Linked DNA regions of Ovis aries. The protein of the gene in region 1 interacts with the protein of each later gene in a pairwise test. Links are inferred from orthologs where the notes say so. Each region holds a gene or a part of one and is shown on either strand. Other genes may lie near its edges.

Region 1 (4,437 bases):
TTTTCAGAGCCTTGGCCAAGAGGCGGGCTGCTGAGGAAGAAAGACCACCGGCTGTGAGGTTGGGCCCCGGCCCACCTGGGGCACAGTGACCCCAGCCCAGGGTCAGCCTGGATGTGCGATGAGCAAAGGTGTGTCACTTGCAGGAGGTGCTTAATAAATGAGGCTTTTAGCTTCTGCAGTCCGACTCTGGGGAGCAGGGGCAGCGGGAAGAGGGTGTGGCTGCCTGTGCTTCTCAAGTCCCCCGGAACATCATGTTGCCACCCCACCCACTAGTTCTTTTCTGTCGGGCCAGGCCCAAAGCTTTGGACTGTAGTGTTGACCATTCCAGCCGAGTGACCTTGGGTGGGTGAAGTCCCTTATATGGGCCTCAGTTTCCTCATCTGGAAAATGGGGAACCACTCTACTACCCAGATGTAGACATGTTTTGGAGAGATCGTTTCCATGCCTAGTGAACACAGCCACATTCTAGGAGCTTCCCCACTTGCCCACTTGGTTGTATTTGGGGTTTGTGGTTAGAGTGAAGTGAAAGCGGGGGCATTAATCAGGGTCCACCTTAGTCCAGGGTGGTCCAGACAACATGGGCAGGGCTTAAGGAGATGGGGAAGCAGAGCCATGTGTCCTGGGCACGCTCCCTCGGGCTTTCTGAACCTCGCCCTCCAGGTGGCTTACCAGGCTGAGGGCAGATGGACAGAGGGCCCAGTGCTGGTGGTTGGGTACACCCGGGCTGCTCAGACACCACGCACACAGCCACGCTTAGAAATGTAATTTGGGCACCAGCACGCGCCCTGGGGAGTCTAGAAATTCTACACAATGAAAAGCTCAAAAACAGCCTCTGAGCTGTGAACAGCCAGGGCTGGCTGGAGTCCTGTGGACAAGCCCTCCCCAGGCTGAGTTGGGCCCCAGTCCCTGCCACAGGGCTTGGCCCACCGTGCCGCCTGCGGCCTGGCCTGTGCCCCAGCCGGAGCCGTTTGTGTAAAACCAGCTCCCACAGGCCCCTTCCTCTATGCAGACCCGGAGGCTGGACTCAGGGTGCACCCTCGGCCAGGCGGGCCAGCCCTTCCCGCAGCTCGCTCAGCTCAAACAGCCTGACGTCCAGCAGCTGTGCGGCCCGGCCCACCTCGGCCCGTGCCCGCTCCCGCTCGACCCGGGCCTCCTCCAGGCTGCGCTCCGTGGCCCGCAGCTGGTGCTCCAGCTCTGCGTTTCGGGTTTCCAGATCCTACAGGGAGAGGGCAGGCAGATGTTGGGGGCCCCAGAAAGTCTCAAGGGTCCAGCATCTCAAAGCAGGTGCTAGGGACCACAGCCCCCACTCTGGGCCAAACTCTTCCTGTCTGCTGGCTTTCTCCCAGCTACCTGTACCCAAGACACTCCGTGGTCCCCCAGCCAATTTGAACTGACCACATTCCTCGAAATCCTCCTGTCACCCATTGTTCTGGGAATGAAATTCAGACCCCTCCCTCCTCTCCTTGCTCGTTCCTGCTCAGCCTTTCTGGCTTCCTTGTGGTTCCTTGAATACTTTCTCCCCACCTCAGGGCCTCTGTATTTGCTGTGCATGCTGCCCAGGAGACAACAGGGAGTGTTCCCTCAAATACTCTCTCTCTGGGGGCACCAGATCCTTTAACTTCTCCACCTGCTGGACTCACAGGACATGCCCCTATGAACGTTCCTCAGAAAAGTCTTCAGCGAAAGCCAGGTCAGCCACTGCTGGTCCTGTTGCTAAGTCGCTTCAATCGTGTCCGACTCTGTGCGACCCCATAGAAGGCAGCCCACCAGGCTCCCCCATCCCTGGGATTCTCCAGGCAAGAACATGAGTGGGTTGCCATTTCCTTCTCCAGTGCATGAAAGTGAAAGTGAAGACGCTCAGTCGTATCCAACTCTTAGCGACCCCATGGACTGCAGCCCACCAGGCTCCTCCGTCCATGGGATTTTCCAGGCAAGAGTACTGGAGTGGATTGCTATTGCCTTCTCCGAGGCCAGCCACATCTGGGTACAAATGCAAGCTTCTGGCCTCAGACGGGGATGTGAGAGGATTTGACAGGGTCAAGAATGGAAATTCAACAGAGACTCAAAAACTGCTTGTTGAATGAATGGAAGATGAAACATTGTCCTAATAACCATCATTTGACTCAGTCCTTCCATGCACCTGGTCATCTGAATCGTTCACAACCTTAGATGTCTTCCTGACTCCATTTATAGGTGAAGAAACAGAGGTTCAGGAAGGCCCACAGCTGCCCAGAGCCCGTGGGAAGGGAAGATCATGTCGGTCCCGTACCAGGAACTGGCTGCCACGGGTAGTCACCCCAGCCCACCACACAGCAACCACACACACCTGCACCTTCTGCTGCGTCTCCTCGCGCTCGGTGTCTGCGGCCTCACGGGATCCACTAGTCTGGCTCCTCAGGGTCTGGATCTCCTGGAGGAAAAGTTCCCAGAATCTGTTCTGCGGTCCTTGGCTCCCCTGCGGGAGATCAAGGACAGCGAGGCCCGAGGAAGCACACACGCACACAGCTGCGTTCACACACCTGGTCTTTAGTTTGCACTAGCGCCTCCAGCTGCTCCAATGACTGGCTGGGTCCCTCCTTCTCACTGACCGCAGGTGGCTCTGCTGCAGCCTGGGCTTCCAGCTCAGCCACCTGTGCAGACAGGCAGGTCAGTCCCGGGTGGCCCAGTCTGGACCTCCTCACCCCAGGGATACGCCTCCTGGTCAGTCAAGCCCATGACAGGGAACTCATCCCTTCAATCCCGGCCACTACCTCACCTCTGGCAGGTAGGACTCCAGGGTCTGATGACCCTCTGTGGCCGACAGTACTTCAGACCCATACTACAGAGCAAGAAACTAAGACTCTGGGAAGTGACCTGCCGAGATCACACATCCAGCCAGTTGAACCCACACAAATAGGAGGCAGGGCCTTCACAGTGACCCTTGGGCCACCTGGGGTCTTCGGGAGGGTGGGGCTTCCTCACCCGCTGCCGCAGCCTCTCAGCCTCTGCGCGCTGGGCCTCCAGCTGCTGCCTCCACTGGGCGGCGGCCGCGTTGGCCTCTCGCAGGGCGCCGGCCAACTTGTTGTTACTGTCCTGCAGCGCGAAGAACTCGGCCTCCCACTGCACCTCGCCCACGGAGCTGCGAGAGCGCCGGAGTCGGCAGAGGGCAGGGCGGGGCCTCACTGGGCCAGGGGCGGGGCGAAGGCGGGGCTGGGTCTTGGGCGGTGCTATGGGCGGGGTCAAGAGACCTCGAGACAAGGGGGTGGGGACGTCCCGGGGAGGCGGGGTCTTCCCGGGAGGTGGGGTCAGAGCAGGCCCTTCTGTGTCCGCTCCGCGAGACAGTCCACATGGAGCTCAGTATCAGCCCATGGGATGTGGACAGAACCAGGGGGTGGGGAGGCATCCGTGGGTTTAGAATTAGCTGGGGGAGGTGTGGACGGGCCAGGGCTAGCCCCGAGGAATGGATGAGGCAAGCGGCGTCGGCTCTGGAAGGGGCATAATCTGGGTGTCTCCTCTCCAACCCAGGCCTGTTCTGGGATCCCAGGCGTGGATCCACTGTCAGATTGCGCCGCTGGAACAAGTCCCAGCAATTTCTGAGAACTTCCTCCCGCCTCCCCCACCTTTCGTCTTGTCACGCCCCTGCACCCTGTGCTACCCTCCTCACCCTTCGGACAGCATCTTTTTGAGCCGCTCGCGTTCAGCGGGGCCCGGGGCATCCGCGCTCTGGCTGCGGAATAGCTTCTCATCGCCGGGGCCATTGGCGCTGACGAGGGGGCTCGGAGGCACCTAAGGGCATGGATAGAAGTGAAGTCACAGTAGGGCGTGGCTTCAGTTAAGGGCCAGTTAGGTCATGGTTGGGGTCAGGGCTGATGTCAGGGGTCATGACTGAGAGGGCGCAGGAGGTCCTTCCCAGCACTGGGATCCAATCGTCCCTCTCCCCTCCTCCCCCACCATCCACGGCCCCCACATGGCCCCTGGGCTGTAGTTTGGCGCCCTGTCCCGCCTCCTTGCCTGCTGGGCTCTCACCAACCCACCAGCAACAAATCTAATGCAGGCTAGCCTAAACCCAGGGAGACAGATACTCATAATCTGCAAATCGGGGAGCAATCTGAAGCCTCGGTGCTATTCCCTCACCGCAATGACCTTTCCTGGGGCCAAATTTCAACAGCTATTTAAAATTCCTATGAGAAACCTACTCTATTAGGCTAAATTCATTATGAATCCACCTGATGCCTGGACCACAGTCCTGAGGGCGGGGACCAGCCTACTTCTTTTATCTTCTTAAGCCCTGTGCCCAGTCCTGGGCCTGGCACACGGTAGGTGGTCAATCAATGATGTTGAATAGGTTAGTGGGGGGAAACGCTCAGGGACAGTTTTTTACCCCACCCCGCTACTTAGGGCTTCCCAGGTGGCTCAGTGGTAAAGAACCCGCCTGCCAATGCAGGAGACATAAGAGAC
Region 2 (5,333 bases), on another chromosome or scaffold:
TAAATCCCCTGGATGGAATCAGAAATTGGTTGGCTCCTTGACTCCTGGTTCATACAGTAAAAATTAAGAGCTGGAAGGGACCCTAGGGATCATTTATCTAACCTCTTTATTTTACATTTGGGAAACTAAGGTCCAAAGGGAGATGATGTAACCTGCCAAAGGCAACAACTAATGAGAGCTGTTTGAACTGGCAGACAGTTTTTTGTCAGCACAACGCTTCCCAAGGCTCTCTGTCCAGAGCCTTTTCATTCTCTCACTGGTTACCAAGAGCTTATCATGTTCCAGGACAGGCCTGGGACATGCACGTGTTCATTAAGACTATTCTGTCTGATCCTTGCGATCACAGTGGTGCCTTGATAAGACTTCAGCAGTGTCTCTCTGCGAAGGTTCTCCACTCAGCTTTTAACCTGCGGCTCTGAACCTAGGTCCTGCCTGAAACCACCAGCCTGCACATCACCCCCTGCCAGATTCATGAACCATGCTGATCCCGCCCCTGCCTCTCCACGCCCCTAAGCCGTTGCTGTTTTATACCCATAGAGCACTTGGGCCTCTTTCTCTGCAGCTGTTGGGAGAGGCTACATATGTCTAAAGGAGGAGCCAGGTTCCACCTTGCCTTCTTAGGAACAAATGGGGAAAGGGAGTTTGGGAAAAATGACAAAGAATTTTTTTTACTCAGGAGCCTGGGAAGCATGAATTCCATCCCATCTGACCCCCCTAGTTCCTTTTCTCATGCTGGCACTTCAGAAATCTAGAAGTTTTTAAAAAGGAGGAAATCAAATTGCAATAACAATATGAGGATTCACTGTGATTCCACATTAAACAACAGCAACAACGATGTAATAAAACCTACAGGGATATGCGGCAGCGTAATTGTGACTTCATCTCCTTTGCCGACCTGAAGCTCTCCTTCACAGGAAGTGTCTATAGACGCCGGCTTAAAGTCATCTAAAGGGAAAGGAAAAAAAGCATTTATCCACCAGGTTACTTGTATTAAGTGCTTGCACGGCATTCACATGTAAGAATGGAAATTTTTTATAACTCAGATAAAAGAAAATACAAACCACTTAGAATTTCTTAAAATGTTATCTCACTGTGGAAAATTTCTCATATACAACAGCAAAGAGAATACTATAATGAGTCCTGAATACCATCACCCAGCTTCATTACCAGTTCTGGGGCAATATAGTTTCATCTATACCTCCATATACTTTCCCTCTTATCCCCACTGGATAATTCTGAAGGAAAAAGGCTAGAATTTATGCAACTTTTCATTAAGCAGATACTCCCTTCCCCTAAGTGACAGATGAAAATTCATGCCTTATTACCTACAATGAGGTGTTTTATTAGGGTTATTATAAGGATGAAAAGCAACAGAGTATGTTTTTAAAACCCTGCGATTGTAAAACACACTATGAAACATGAGAGGTCACAGCATTTTGATAAGAACTGTCAAAGTTAGGATCTGCCACACTCAAGTTCCATAGCTTTAACAAGAATATTCCTACAGATATCTGGAGCAGAAGGTTGCACTGTACTTCCAAAGGTTAATCCTGCCCATGTTTCTGAATTGCAGTTAAGGCACAGCGTGAACAGCCATCTTACTGTCTTTTAACACAAACCTGCCTCAGACTGCAGGCCAGGTACATCTGTCAAGTGTCTTATTTAAACTGCACGTTGCCCTTCATTCTGCCACAACATCAACTTAGTAAATTGTTCAGGAAATGATGCTGCTCTTCTCACATTCCCAAAACCCAGCCCCTCAGAGGGCTGATCTGCCGTCAGCAGGAAGCAGAGTAATGGCCTGGCAAGTGACCACAGGAAGACAGAAGTTCACCACCTACTACGCCTGTTTCAAGGTGTTGAGTCACATCTAAGAACTCCTCGGACAAAAACAAGTCTTAACCAGTACTGGGGCTACTGGGACGCGAAACCAGGAGTCTGTGAATCATAGTGGGATGCTCTGGCGGCCAATTCTTCACCCAGGATACACAGTGGAAAGGCCCTCCCCTCAACAGAGTCTGTAATCATGGAGAAAAAAAGAGGTCCAGCATAATGACTATCTGCACACTCCTTATGCCTGCTGGCTTTTGCTTCCAAACATAGATCAAGCTCTAACTTATTCCTGGCTCTCCAATCCTAATTTTACTTTCCACCCACAAGGGACTGGGTCTGGAGAAAAAGTGAGGGGTAGTCTGGTGACCTCAAAAAGACATCAAAGCGCGAGACAAGCTGGCACAGATATATGGAGGAAAAGAAGGCGGACGGGGCGCAGAGCTGCGGGCTCTGGGGCTGCAGCCGGGCGTCGCGGAGGCCAGAACCCAAGGGGGCAAGGAAAGAAAAGCAAAGGCGGCCGGAAGGGAATGGAACAGGAGGGAGTGGAGGCCAACGCCGAGGAAAACGAGAAGAGCTCCTGAAGCGTGGAGATGCCCAGTGGGGATCGGGGTGTGGATCGAGGGGGAGGGGGTGGCTGGAATACAAAGAAGCTGGAAACTGATGTGGGGTCGCAGCCCTTCGGTAATAAGAGGGGAAGGTGGAGGATGCCAATCCCGAGGAAACGAGAAGAGCTCCTGAAGCGCGGGGATCTGGGTGTGTGGGGGGCGGTGGGGGTGAGGAGAGGCTGGAATACAAAGAAGCTGGAAACTGATGGGGTCGCAGCCCTTCGGTAGTAACATGGGGACGTGGAGGTTCGGGGCGCAAGAGGGTCCAATGACCTTCGGGAGAAGCATTTGGTAGCGCAAAGCGGAGAAATCCTGGGAGCTGAGGGAAGGGTCTGGTCTGAGAAGAGGGAGCTGGGAAAAAAAAACAAAGGAAAAACCCGAGGTCCCCCGAGGGAGGGAACGCCGGCAAGGCCCCCTGGCCTTCTCCGGGGCAGAGGGCGACCGGGGGGCGGACTCACAGCGGATGGTGTGGAAGGAGGCCCGCGGCCGCTTCTCGAAGCTCTCCCCGAGCCGCAGGCAGTGCTCCTCGCGGTCCAGCAGCGGGTTGGCCGTCCCGTTCATGGCCCCGCACGGGCCTCGCGCCCGCCCGGGCGCCCTCCTGGCGCGGCCCCGGCCCGAGCCGCCGGCGCCGGCGTCCGGAGGAGCCGCGCTTCCGGGACAGCGCTCGGGGGCGCGCGGGGAGCCGAGCCGGCGCCCACCCGCGCAGGCCGGAAACGAGCTCGGGCCTGCGCGTCTGGGCGGGGGACGACTCCGAGCAGACCCGACGGCGGAACTTCCGGCGCCGAGGAGGGACGTCCGGGCCCGCAGCGGAAGTAGAGGGGGCGGTGCCATGGCCGAAGGTCTTTGCCGCCGGGAGAATCCGGATTCGAGGTCTCTCTGCGGGGCGGGGGTGGGTGTTGGCCAGGCGAAGGGTTTTGGTTTTGTTTTGTTTTGTTTTTTTTTTTTTCCCCGCGGTGGCTCCCAAGTTCTGCTTCTGAGGCTGCGCCTGGCTGGGGGCTCAGCGCGCCCGGCCCCACCCTTCAGGGGAACCTAGGAACTGCTGACTGGGGCGCCCGGCGCGCGGTGGACTAGGCTCACGCGGGTCGCCGCCGCCCCTCGCGGCTGGGCGGCCCGGCTCATCCGCAGGGTCCTGGCGGCCCCACTCTCCGCGTCCCTGAGCCTCTTTTTCGTCCCTTTCGCGCGCCCAGGGCGGCGCGAGGGCCTCAGTTCCCGAAAGGGACGCGCCCTGGGGTTCATGAGACAGACTCAGGCCACCCGGGCGTAGTAGCTCCGTTTTCCCCGAAAAACGCCGTCTCTCGCGTCCTTGGCGACGGTGACCGACCGCCTGGGGCTTGGACAGCCGTCGTGGTTGTTTTTAAAGACACCCCCGTTTCACGGACACCGAACCCTGAGGAACCGTAAGGTTTCTCAGTCAGTTCTTGAGAGTGACTTTTTTTCCTGACTGAAAGCGGCTTACTGACTGTTCGGGTTGGAATTAAGCCTTTCTGTGCGTGAGAGCCCTGGCCGCTGGATGTCAGCCCCCTGCAGGCGGGGGTCTGTGTCTTGCTCTTTGTGACCTCTTCTGTAGTGGGGTAGGGCTTTGTGTAGGGTCAGCATCTAGTAAATGTTTGCGGAATTGAAATGTTAAGTGAAAGAACTAATCAAGAACCGCTAACTGAGCATCTTAAAAAAAAAAACCTGTTCTAGAACCTCCCACCGGAATGTCTTTTTCTTTCCTGCGAAGTATCCGATGGCTGCTTCAGGCTTGAACCCAGCCTGAGGGACCACATCTGAGAGGACCCTGCCTGTGTCTGTGGTATCCACTTGAAGTCCTCAGGTTGCTGAGGAATGGGCCATCTCCAGCAGTGTTAAATGTTCAGCATATGACCATCCACGTAGGAGATGGCTGCTTTGCAAAGGAGAGGGCTGCAGACAAGGATTCTCAGCTCTGAAGAAGAGGAGAAACTGAAGAGAGACCAAGCTTTAGTGTCTGATTTTAAACAGCAGAAACTGGAAAAAGAGGCTCAGAAGAACTGGGACCTTTTTTACAAAAGAAACAGCACTAATTTCTTCAAAGATAGACACTGGACCACCAGAGAGTTTGAGGAGCTCAGATCATGTAGAGAGGTAAACTAATACTGCACCTTGTTCGAGCGATTCTTCATTTAAAATGTGTAGAAGAGGGGTGTTTTATTGGATTCCCAGGGCGAGTGTGAGGTAGAAAATTTACGAAACCTGTCAAAGGCTTCATGAATTTTTGTAGCTTAGATATACACTGTCTCAAATAGTTTTAGCAGTTGCTGAGTTGTAAAATACAGAGGAGAGAGGACTTGAGTGGGCATTTTCTGTTTCTTTAAAGCGAATCTGAAAATTGTAAATATTGAGTTCACACTGAATGATTTCAGTGACAGGTTCATAATGATAATGGAGATGAATGCTTCACCACAGCCCTTCACATGAACTTAACAGTAGTGTTCTGTAATTTAAACCTTAAAGTAACATGTTGAAGTTTAGCGTTAGGGTTATTCCCACTTGCTGATGAAACTGAGGGACAAAGCTGTGTGAGTGACTTGTTCAGTGACGGAATGCAGGGTGAGGGGAAAAGTTCAGATTTGCGTGCAGGCACTTTAACCTCAGAGCCTGTTGTGTTAGCCATTACGCTGTTGTTTTCTCCACACCAGATTACCCAGTGTTGGACAACAGATGAGGCATCAGTTGCTTTGGGTTATCCCTTCACTGGTTAATTGTCTACTCCATGGGGGCAGAGACCTTGTTTCATGTTCTGGACCTTTTAGTTTGTTTCTTCATTAGGTGGGATGTTGTGTACTGTAACTTTGGGTTCTCTTTCCTCAGTTTGAAGATCAGAAATTGACTATTCTTGAAGCTGGCTGTGGGGTTGGGAACTGTTTATTCCCA
Region 3 (4,565 bases), about 5.5 Mb from region 1:
TTCCAGTACTCTAGCCTGGAGAGTTCTATGGGCAAAGGAGCCTTGTGGGTTACAGTCCATGGGGTCACAAAGAGTCAGACACAACTGAGTGACTAACACTTTGATTTCACATGTGTGTGTGTATACATATATGTATGTATTTATGTTTAGACATACCTCCCCATGTCCTTAACCTTAGAGGAAAAGTCTTTTTTTTTTTTCTTTCATTTCGCTGCTTGCTTAGATTTTTTTTAAGTTTATTATTTATTTTGGCTTTGCTGGGTCTTCATTGCAGCTTTCAGGCTTCTCTAGTTGTGGTGCCTGGGCTCTAGAGTGCTTGGGTTCAGTCGTTGTAACTTGTAGACTTGATTGCCATCTGTGGGATCTTTGTTTCCTGACCAGGGATCGAACCTGGGCCCCCTGCATTGAGAGTGTGGAGTCTTATCCATTGGACCACCAGGAAAGTCCCCACTACTTGCTTAGTTTTTTAAATACCAGTTTTCTTTGCAAAAAGATCAGACCGTGTGAAAAAGAAACAGAATTCCCAGTGTATGCATGCAAAGTCGCTTCAGTCGTATCCTACTCTTTGCGATGCTATGGACTCAAGCCCACCAGGCTCCTCTGTCCATGGGATTCTCCGGCCGAGAATACTGGAGTGTGTTGCCATGCCCTCCTCCAGAGAATCTTTCTGACCCGGGGATCAAACCTGCAGCTCTTATGTCTCTGTCATTGGCAGACGGGTTCTTTACCATTAGCTCAACCTGGGAAACCCTAGTATAAAAAATTCCCAGTGCACAGTATTTTAAACAAAAAACGGCTGTATTATTAACTCTGTTTTCAGGAATGGGATAAATATCAAGAGAGTCATTGGGTTCAAGTGAGTTTAAAGATTAACCTGAAAGAAGCTTTTCCTTGGCTGTGAAAGTCGTTCACTTGTGTCTGACTTTCTGCGACCCCATGGACTATATAGTCCATGGAATTCTCCAGGCCAGAATACTGGAGTGGGTAGCCTATCCCTTCTCCAGTGAATCTTCCCGACCCAGGAGTCGAACCAAGGTCTCCTGCATTGCAGGTGAATTTTTTACCAGCTGAGCTACCAGGGAAGCCTCTAGATACCAAAAGTCTACATTGCTCTAAGTTTTCACTAGAAAATGCTTTCAAAATTTTAAAACAGTCACTTTTCAGTAATTTCTAACTAATTCACTAATTCCTAAAAATATCTAGAAAAATTCTTGAAATAGTCAAGGGCTATTTTACTATCTGGGTGAAAATTCTTACATAATCTCGTAATCCAGGACCACAGAAGGAAAGGCGCAGAGAAGAGCTGACTTCACACGGCAGGGCCATGAAATTATTCTTCTGTTAGGAAGACTGTCCAAAACCCAAGTGGATAATAGTGGTGGGTGGCCAGGGGTAAGAGTTCTGAGGCAGTCCTGCTTGTCTTCAAGATTTACTTACTATTTTTTTTTTTAAGAAAGATTGTTGTTTCTTTTTTAAAAAATGTTACTTATTTTCATTTTTGGCTTGGCTGAGTCTTTGTTGCTGCTCGGGCTCTTCTCTAGTTGTGGCGGGCGGGCTTCTCATCGCCGTGGCTTCACTAGTGACCGAGCACGGGCTCTGGAGCACCGGCTCAGTAGTTGTGGCTCACGGGCTTAGCTGCTCGGCGGCAAGTGGGATCTGCCTGGATCAGCAATTGAATGTCTCCTGCATTGGCAGGCGGATTCTTTACCACGGGAGAAGCCCCCAAGGTTTACTGAGAACATTCTCTTTTGTTCTCCCCAAAGCACCATCCTATAGAACCTTCTGCAGTTCTGTCGCCTCTGAGCCTACAATAGTTGAGTTCTGTCGTAGATGGTATTGTTCCGTGTCTGTGTCCTCCTGTATAGTAGCCGCTAGCCTCTTGAAGTCTGGCTAGTGTGACGGGGGACTGACACTTTCAGTCAGCTTACATTTTACTTCATTTCAGTAGCCACATGTGGCTAGAGGTGACCAGATCGGGGACACCCATAAAGTCACATGGTTCTATGACTTCAACACCTTCCAGAAGATGTGATGCAGTTGGGAGAATTCCATGAGACCAGTGGTTTCCCCACATGAGTGGACACCAGCATCATCACCTGGAAGGCTTGCTAGAACACACACTGCTGGGCTCCACCCCCAGGGTTTCTGATTCAGTGGGTCCAGGGTGGGTGGAGGTGCTGAGAATCTCCCTTTCCAGCAGGTTCCCAGGGATGCTGGTGATGCTGGTTTGTGAGCACAGGAGGGGAGGCGGGACGCTGAAGGAAGGGTAGTTCCCATTTGCCGGAGTCGTCCGTAGGTCTTGTTGGATCAGAGCTGCTCCCCACCCCTAGAAGAGGGCCTGCTTGCCTGCCTGCTTCTTGCTTTTCCAGGGTGGCTTTCAAGAGGTGGTCCTGTCAAAGGATGGATTGGCTTTGTGACCCCTTAATACGCTGCATGGTACTCTGTGGTTGGATGCGATGCCACAGTGACTGGAACCCTGGAAACGTACGGGTGTGCACGCCTATGACCCTGAGGCTCCCCCAGCGAGATGCTAGAGGAGGGCTAGGGTCCTCACGCCAGCCCCTCCCCTCAGGTCACCTTCCGCAACCCTGTCATTGAGAGGATCCCCCGGCTCCGACGACAGAAGAAGATCTTCTCCAAGCAGCAAGGTGAGGGGATGAACCGGGACAGGGCAGAGACCAGGGTTGCCATCCGTGTCATGGAGGCTAACGTCCACCCCCATGCTGCCCTTCCCCAGGGAAGGCATTTCAGCGTGCTAGGCAGATGAACATCGACGTTGCCACCTGGGTACGGCTGCTTCGCAGGCTCATCCCCAACGCCACGGCCACTGGTACCTTCAGCCCGGGGGCTTCACCAGGACCTGAGGCTCGGTCCACAGGGTAAGCGGGGGGTGGGGCCCTGGGAGGCCCGCTGCCCTGGCTGCTTTCCCGGGCGCCAGGTCTTAGATGCGCCCTCCTTCCTTGTGCCGCAGTGACGTATCTGTGGAGAAGCTGAACCTCGGGGTTGAGACAGACAGCTCACCCCAGAAGAGCCCTCTGGGTCCTCCTTCCAGCCCATCCAGTCTGGTGAGCACCCCACCTTGGCCCAGCTCGAGTTCCAAGCTCTCGCCAGGAACTTCCTTGGTCACACAGCTTATCTCTGCCAGAGCTAGGGTCTCATTTTCTATCCCAGACAAACACATGAGCTTGGGAGCCAGGCCCCCTGGGCCCCACTCCTTCTCTGTTGCCTCCTGTCTGTGTGACCCATGCCAAGCCACTTCACCTCTTCATGCTTAGCGCACCACTGTGTAAAACGATCAAGTTTAAAACTCATGTCGATGACAGGAGTCAGGTTAGTGGTTTCCTCCGGGCAGTTTGTTGACAGGAGAATGGACTCAGGAGAGCCTGCCAGCATGATGAAAATGTTCTGAAGCTTGATCTAGGTCAGAGGGCAAGTACGCTTTTTCTGGAAAGGACCATATCGTCAGTATCTTCAGCTTTGTGGGTCAGATGGGTCACAGTGATGACTCGTCAATACTGCTCTCATAGAAAGCAGCAACATGTGATACAGGCATGAAGGGGTGTGACTGTGCACTGGGAAAGCCTTGTGTCATATCCCTTTCAGGAATCATGAGCTATTTTTCTTCTTTTGATTTTTCTCAACCCTTTAAAAACATAAAAATGATTCTTAGCTTACAGACTGTACAAAACACGGAGTTTACCAACCCCTGGTCTAGCTCACAGGCATCTGGTTAGACACGTGTAAGAGCTGGTCCCATTACCCACCCCACTGAATGCATTTTATACCTCATTTTCTAAAAAATGGCAGCAATAACAACATATGCTTCATGGCATTAAGTGAGATCATTAAATAGATGAATTTGGCAAAAAAAAAAAAAATCCAAAAGTTGAATAACACTGAATGCTGGGGAGGATGCGGGAGAACAGGCAGGCAGTCAGTGGGAGGCATGTGAATCACTACATCTTCTTGGGAGGGCAAGCTGGTTGAGTTAAAAATGGGTGTTATCTTGACCTAGGTGTTCCACTCCTGGACATCTGTGATGGCCATTCACATACATGCACACAAAAAATGCTTGAATGAGTATGAAATACATCTAGAAAGGTACCCATGACATCATTAACAGCAGCTGGCTCTGGGGAGAGCAGCTGGGGCAGGAAAAACTGCATTTCCTACTGTATACCTGTTTGCACTGGTTGAACTTTTAAAACTATATAATGGGGAATGATGGACCAGTAGGTAAATTTTCTCCAACTTAAACTTTTAATTTTGATGCTTCATTATATATTCATATGATGTAAAGAATTAGGTGGTTCCATAAGGCTGTTACCAATAAAGGCAATAAGTTAGACGTATTGGAGCTTCAGCAACAGTCCTCCCAATGACTGTTCAGGGTTGATTTCCTTTAGGATTGACTGGTTTGATCTCCTTGCTGTCCAGGGGACTCTCAAGAGTCTTTTCTAGCACAATTCAAAGGCATCGGTTATTCAGCCCTCAGCCTTCCTTATGGTCCAGGTCTCACATCTGTACATGGCTCTTGGAAAACCCATAGTTTTGACTATACAGAC
Region 4 (5,176 bases), on another chromosome or scaffold:
TAACAATAACTGAAATTCAGGGTACATGCTCTGCCCCCCAACCAATATTTTACATATTAAAAATAGTTCAAGTAGTGAACATATACCCCAACATACTTTATTTTTAAAAAATATAAGATTTGCTACATAAAACAATGAAAACTTTCCCACATCACCTAAGTTTCTAACAGTCCCACTATTCCTTTACCATTTTGGCATGAATCCTGTGTCACTGTTACCATGCACCTGTTACTGCAATGAGATACACATTCTCTTTTCCCTATGGGTGATCATTTTGCATCTTCCCCATGAATCTCCGTAACTTTGAAAGTAATGACTATCATCCATTTCTACTTTATGTTTCCATAATACTCCTCAAATAAATGGGTACTCAACAGATGTTGACAAATTAAACCTAGTTCTAATAATTGGGACGACAATCACCCTCACGAAAGATGTCTGTGGATCAAACACTACTAACAATTAAGTCACGTTTTTGTACACAGAACAAAAAGCAACTAGATTAATATACCTGCCCCTAGACACTAAACCAACTGCTGGTCTCTGGTGTAACTTGTTCAGAAAGGTATCTTAAAAAATAAATAAATAGGCCTCTCAAGCAGTCTTTACAGAACGTTATCTTTTTCCCTCACAAAGTCCTAAGTCAACAAATCCATTTACTGGGCACTAGAAATGTATTAGGTGACAGAGCGAATCTGCACAGAAATAGAGGACAGTCCTAGTTCCCAGGGATCTCAAGGGACACTTCACAATTCAAGAAATGCCTTGGCAATGTGTATATTTAAGACAATGTGCTTAAAACAATGTGAAAAGCACACAGGAAAAATATGTTCTCCCTGAAACACAGCCTAGATATTTCAAAGATAATTCTGAGTGTTTCCTTTATATGTAATCTTTTAAAAGTTCCGGAATTCTCTCCTTTATTGTTTAAATAAGCTGGTAAGTGAACAAAAATAGAATTTTGGAAACTTGCTTTAATCTTCTACTTTCTATTATGAAATGGAAAGGAAGATTATGCTAGCAAGCTTGCCTGACATACTTATCAAAGGAAAGGAGAAGAAAGGGGAGCATTATGTGTACAATGCCAGATATCATCAAGATTACTAGGAAAGATCATGTGTTTGTATGTCTACACTTCCAAAATTCTATAGGAAGAGTAAAGCATCTCTCAAATATTATTCTCTGAAACTGACTTTTAGTTTCCCAGGTATAGTTTTTCTTTGCTATTGCTGAGCCTGTGAATTTATGTTATAATGCTTCACATCCACTCATAAAGTTACTGAACAGTTAATGAACACTTTGGAAAGTTGTTATATTGCTTAAACACACACACACCAACCACTGGGCCAGAGGTTCCAATAAATTCACTTTTCCTAAAAAAGTAATTTTACAAAATAACTCAGAATGGAAGAAAAGCCAGGATGGAATGCTATCTTTGATAATGAGTAGCCAAAAAGAGACTACATAATAACACACCCACCGCAACTTTGTTTATAGGCTTGTAACTTGCACATGCAAGTACTCTACAAAGTATTGCACAAGAAGAAACTGTCAAAAATGAATGCTCATGAAAATATTCCTTTTCTAAATAAGGTTTCTAACAAGGACGTACTATTTCTAAATGTAACTTCTTTAGCATGTTTTGACAGGTATGTGTATTAGTCGCTCAGTCGTGTCTGATTCTTGGCGACCCCATGGACTGGAGTCCGTCAGGCTCCTCTATCCGTGGAATTCTCCAGGCAAGAATACTGGAGTGGGTTGCCATTCCCTTCTCCAGGGATTGACAGGTATAGAATACCACTAATGCTTAAGATGGAGGAGGAAAAATTTCTTGTTTATCAATAGTACAAGCGGCTGTTACTAACTACAACGTCTATGGGTTCAGTAGCAGAAACAAACTTTACGGAAGGTATCTGCTGGGCAGAATAGTTAAACTAACTTTATTTCTACCCAAATTCTATTTTTTCCGCCTAATCCTATAGACCCTAGCAATCTGAAGCTTTTTGTTTTGTTTTGCAATGTTTCTTTTCCCTTCCAAAAGAATCTCCGCCAGTCAATCGAGGTAACACTTTCCACAGTTCAAAGGTGAAGGCAAATTCTCACTACAAAGAGCTCTTGCTCCTCATCAGCACCCCCCCCCTTTTTTTTTCAAATTATCTTGACCTAATAGGGGACGGGACGACAGAGGATGAGATGGCTGGATGGCATCACCGACTCGATGGACGTGAGTCTGAGTGAACTCCAGGAGTTGGTGATGGACAGGGAGGCCTGGCGTGCTGCAATTCATGGGGTCGCAAAGAGTCGGACACGACTGAGCGACTGAACTGAACTGAAATGAAGAGAGGTTAATGCTCCCTTGCAATGCAAATCCACAAAAGAAACGATTTTAGGCGCCAGGAATGAAACTGAGATGGGAGGAAAAGTCCGACAGCTATCAAGAACCATTTCGTCCTACAAGTGAGCCTTTCCAAAACGCAGGGAACGATGTTTTGCCCAAAGAACCTGCCGCCCGGAAGCCATAACTTCCATCAATAGGCAAAGAAAAGTTACAAAGAGCTCAGCACCCAGGCAGCCTGCGCGGGTGCGGAGACGGGAGAGCTGCAAAGACGCTCCCTGGCCCCGACGGGCGGCGGCTGCGGTGTCAGTGGGGGCAGACTCCAGCTCAGGCAGGCAGGGAGTCTAGGGGTGCGCCGCCGGCCCGGAGCAGCGCGGGCACGGCGCCCGCATCCGCACCCCTCCCCACGACCGCGAGCAGTGGGCGGAGAGACCAGAGCAGAAGAAAAGCAGGACAATGCTGGGCCCGGCTGGCGACTCTGCACTCTCCGTGGTCCCCAGCGCCCCTTCTCGCCCGGGGTCGCCAAGCTGCCGCGCTAAGTTTGCTTCCCAGCCCTGCCTTCACAGCCAGGGCGGCAGAGCGGTGGCCGCCGACCTCCCTCCGCCGCGCCGCCTTCCTCCCCGCGGGGCGGCTCCCGCGAGTCCGCGAGGACGCGGCGCGCGAGAGCAGAATTGGGCGCGCGAGGGGAAGGGGGCGCGCAAGGAAGCAGCGCGCGCATCGGGAGCCGGGCGCGCGGGGGAGCAAAGCGCGCGGCTCTCCCCGAGGACCAGCTGCCGCTCCGGCGAGTTTTCGGTTTAGACGGGGGCTGCGGCGCGGCTTAGTGTCCGTTACGGGTCTTGGCCCGGGCGGCGCAGATTGCCAGCCATCCTGGCCCGCCTCCCCTCTCAGCCCCCATCAGAAAGCGGGCGAGGGCCGGCGATCTCGTCTCCCGCCGGGGCTGTGGCCGCCGGCCGACGGGCATCCCGGCGCCCGCCTCTGGAGCTGGAAGAGAAAGTGAAATGAAGCGCCTTTCCCCAGGCAACACCTACCCGTCCCCAGTCCAAGTGCAGCTGCCTCGCTCCTCAGGCGCCGCCGGTCCCCGCCCTCGGGCCCCAGGCTCCGTTCTCTTGACAATAGCGCGTCCCCTTTAAGGAATAATCCGATCGGAACCGATCTGTGGTTAAACCTCCCTCCGACTCCAGATTTTAACCGGATTTCTCTCTCACTCCCCAAGAGCCCGACGGGCGCCCGGCGGTGCTGCGAGCTCTTCCCACCTCTTCCCCGCCCCGCCTACTCCCTGGTCTTCCTGATTGGCGAGAAACACTACAACAGGAACAGCAGTTCTCACACCCCACTGGCCAGTGCAGCCGCCGCTCAGAGTTACCCCCGCCTTCACCCCGCCCCTTTTCCTGGGTTGGTCCTACCTCTAATCATTCTCTGTCTTCTACTCTGTCGTTGCTTTGGAGAACTGGCAGTCAAGGCTTACCCTCCCGCCTCCGGAAAGCGAACTTTATTTTTATTGGTAAAAGGACATCTTCCTGTGCACCTGATTGGACAAGGAAGGAGTTAGTCTGCACGCCCCTTACCCATTATTGCTCTCTGTACACGGGTTTGAGAAACACAACCGCCGAGTCCTCCTCCCCACTTTGCCTAGTTCGAAGCGCCTTTCCCTTTAAATGTTGGTAGGGGTCGTAGACAAACTCATAGTCTGTGTTGGGCAAAGACGAAAAGGGAAAGGAGAAAATTTCAAAATCTTCTGATGACTTAATATATCGGGGAACTGGAGCTGGGATCCAGCGGAATATCATCCTTCGGTCTACTGAATGGAGTGGTTAGAATGAGGAAGAATACCTGCAATTCTAGTACTCACTCTTGAGATGTAATCAACAAGTTTTCACTCACTGTCCATTCTACTCCTACTGTCGATCCCACTGGCATTTTACTACCCCAAAGAGCTTTAATAAAGATATCTGCAAACCTAGGGGTGCCCTTGTTTGTTCCACAGTGGTTCGTTTAAATCGCTTCTATTTAAAGCTCCGTTTAATTCATGTCCTCTGTTGTTATCTAGGGTTTGTCACGAGATCTAAGCTACTCTTCTGAAAAGATTGAATAGATGCCCACCCACCGTGCCATCCTCCAAAGTTGAAGAAGTCCTTACCTCTTGCTAGAGCTGCGTAAGGGGAGCCTGGGTTGAGCCCAGTTGGGCACCAGAAGGTTATTCCTTGAGAGAACTGAAGGAGTCTGGCACCGGAAGCTTAACCCTGCAGCAAAACCTCACGCATGGAAAAAGGAGGAATTCTTCGGCAGCCTGGTAAGGTCTGTGTTAGGAGCTCCCCAGTTTCCCATGGGAACTGTAAGAACCGGAAGGGTTGTACCTACTAAGATTCGGTACTCAAGTGCTTTGGTACCTATCTATGAATGTTAGGGAGAAATCGTTAAATGTATGCCTCCCTTTGCCAATGAACTTAGAGACACTTTGGACCTCAGGATGTTTAGTTTATTTGCAGTGAGAGCCCAGCGGAAACAAGCGGTGCCAAGAAAGTGGCAGCGCTTGGCAGTACCCCAGAAGGGATTTAGGACCAGAAAGAGGGAGATAAACAGCAGTAGTAGATAGGAATTTTCGGAGAGTTCAGGGGGAAAATCTCCTGGAAATACCCTAAACATGGAAGAGGGAGAAAAGGGAAAGGTTGTAGGCGGTTTAGGTGTTTCTATTAGGGGCAAGAGACAAGGAAATAACCTGGATTATATTTATATGGTCTTCACAGGTATTTTTTAAAAATCAAGATCCAGGTTAAGTTTTCAAGTTCTTTGTAAATCTCTTGCTTCATGAGGCCAAGAGTATTTTGTTACACTAGCACATTG

What was found.
Region 2: the proteins of HOMER3 (region 1) and EAF1 interact in binary tests that used the Homo sapiens proteins (3 or more experiments, as listed by UniProt). The two-hybrid records come from large-scale screens. The link is inferred for Ovis aries from reciprocal best matches to the Homo sapiens genes HOMER3 and EAF1.
Region 3: the proteins of HOMER3 (region 1) and PKN1 interact in binary tests that used the Homo sapiens proteins (3 or more experiments, as listed by UniProt). The two-hybrid records come from large-scale screens. The link is inferred for Ovis aries from reciprocal best matches to the Homo sapiens genes HOMER3 and PKN1.
Region 4: the proteins of HOMER3 (region 1) and FRYL interact in binary tests that used the Homo sapiens proteins (3 or more experiments, as listed by UniProt). The two-hybrid records come from large-scale screens. The link is inferred for Ovis aries from reciprocal best matches to the Homo sapiens genes HOMER3 and FRYL.

What each region holds. Positions count from the first base shown.
Region 1 is NC_056058.1:4,098,369-4,102,805, reverse strand, and holds the end of HOMER3 (homer protein homolog 3), read right to left. Parts: intron 3,766-4,437; coding exon 3,644-3,765; intron 3,119-3,643; coding exon 2,962-3,118; intron 2,631-2,961; coding exon 2,520-2,630; intron 2,411-2,519; coding exon 2,327-2,410; intron 1,217-2,326; coding exon 1,025-1,216; 3' UTR 749-1,024; downstream 1-748. UniProt on the Homo sapiens protein: Postsynaptic density scaffolding protein. Binds and cross-links cytoplasmic regions of GRM1, GRM5, ITPR1, DNM3, RYR1, RYR2, SHANK1 and SHANK3.
Region 2 is NC_056054.1:273,470,950-273,476,282, reverse strand, and holds the start of EAF1 (ELL-associated factor 1), read right to left. Parts: upstream 3,480-5,333; 5' UTR 3,270-3,479; coding exon 2,897-3,269; intron 946-2,896; coding exon 851-945; intron 1-850. Other genes in the region: tRNA N(3)-methylcytidine methyltransferase METTL6, read left to right, coding at 4,320-4,544, 5,271-5,333. UniProt on the Homo sapiens protein: Acts as a transcriptional transactivator of ELL and ELL2 elongation activities.
Region 3 is NC_056058.1:9,628,416-9,632,980, reverse strand, and holds part of PKN1 (serine/threonine-protein kinase N1), read left to right. Parts: intron 1-2,572; coding exon 2,573-2,648; intron 2,649-2,737; coding exon 2,738-2,879; intron 2,880-2,971; coding exon 2,972-3,065; intron 3,066-4,565. UniProt on the Homo sapiens protein: PKC-related serine/threonine-protein kinase involved in various processes such as regulation of the intermediate filaments of the actin cytoskeleton, cell migration, tumor cell invasion and transcription regulation.
Region 4 is NC_056059.1:68,113,036-68,118,211, forward strand, and holds the start of FRYL (protein furry homolog-like), read right to left. Parts: upstream 3,587-5,176; 5' UTR 3,364-3,586; intron 1-3,363. UniProt on the Homo sapiens protein: Plays a key role in maintaining the integrity of polarized cell extensions during morphogenesis, regulates the actin cytoskeleton and plays a key role in patterning sensory neuron dendritic fields by promoting avoidance between homologous dendrites as well as by limiting dendritic branching.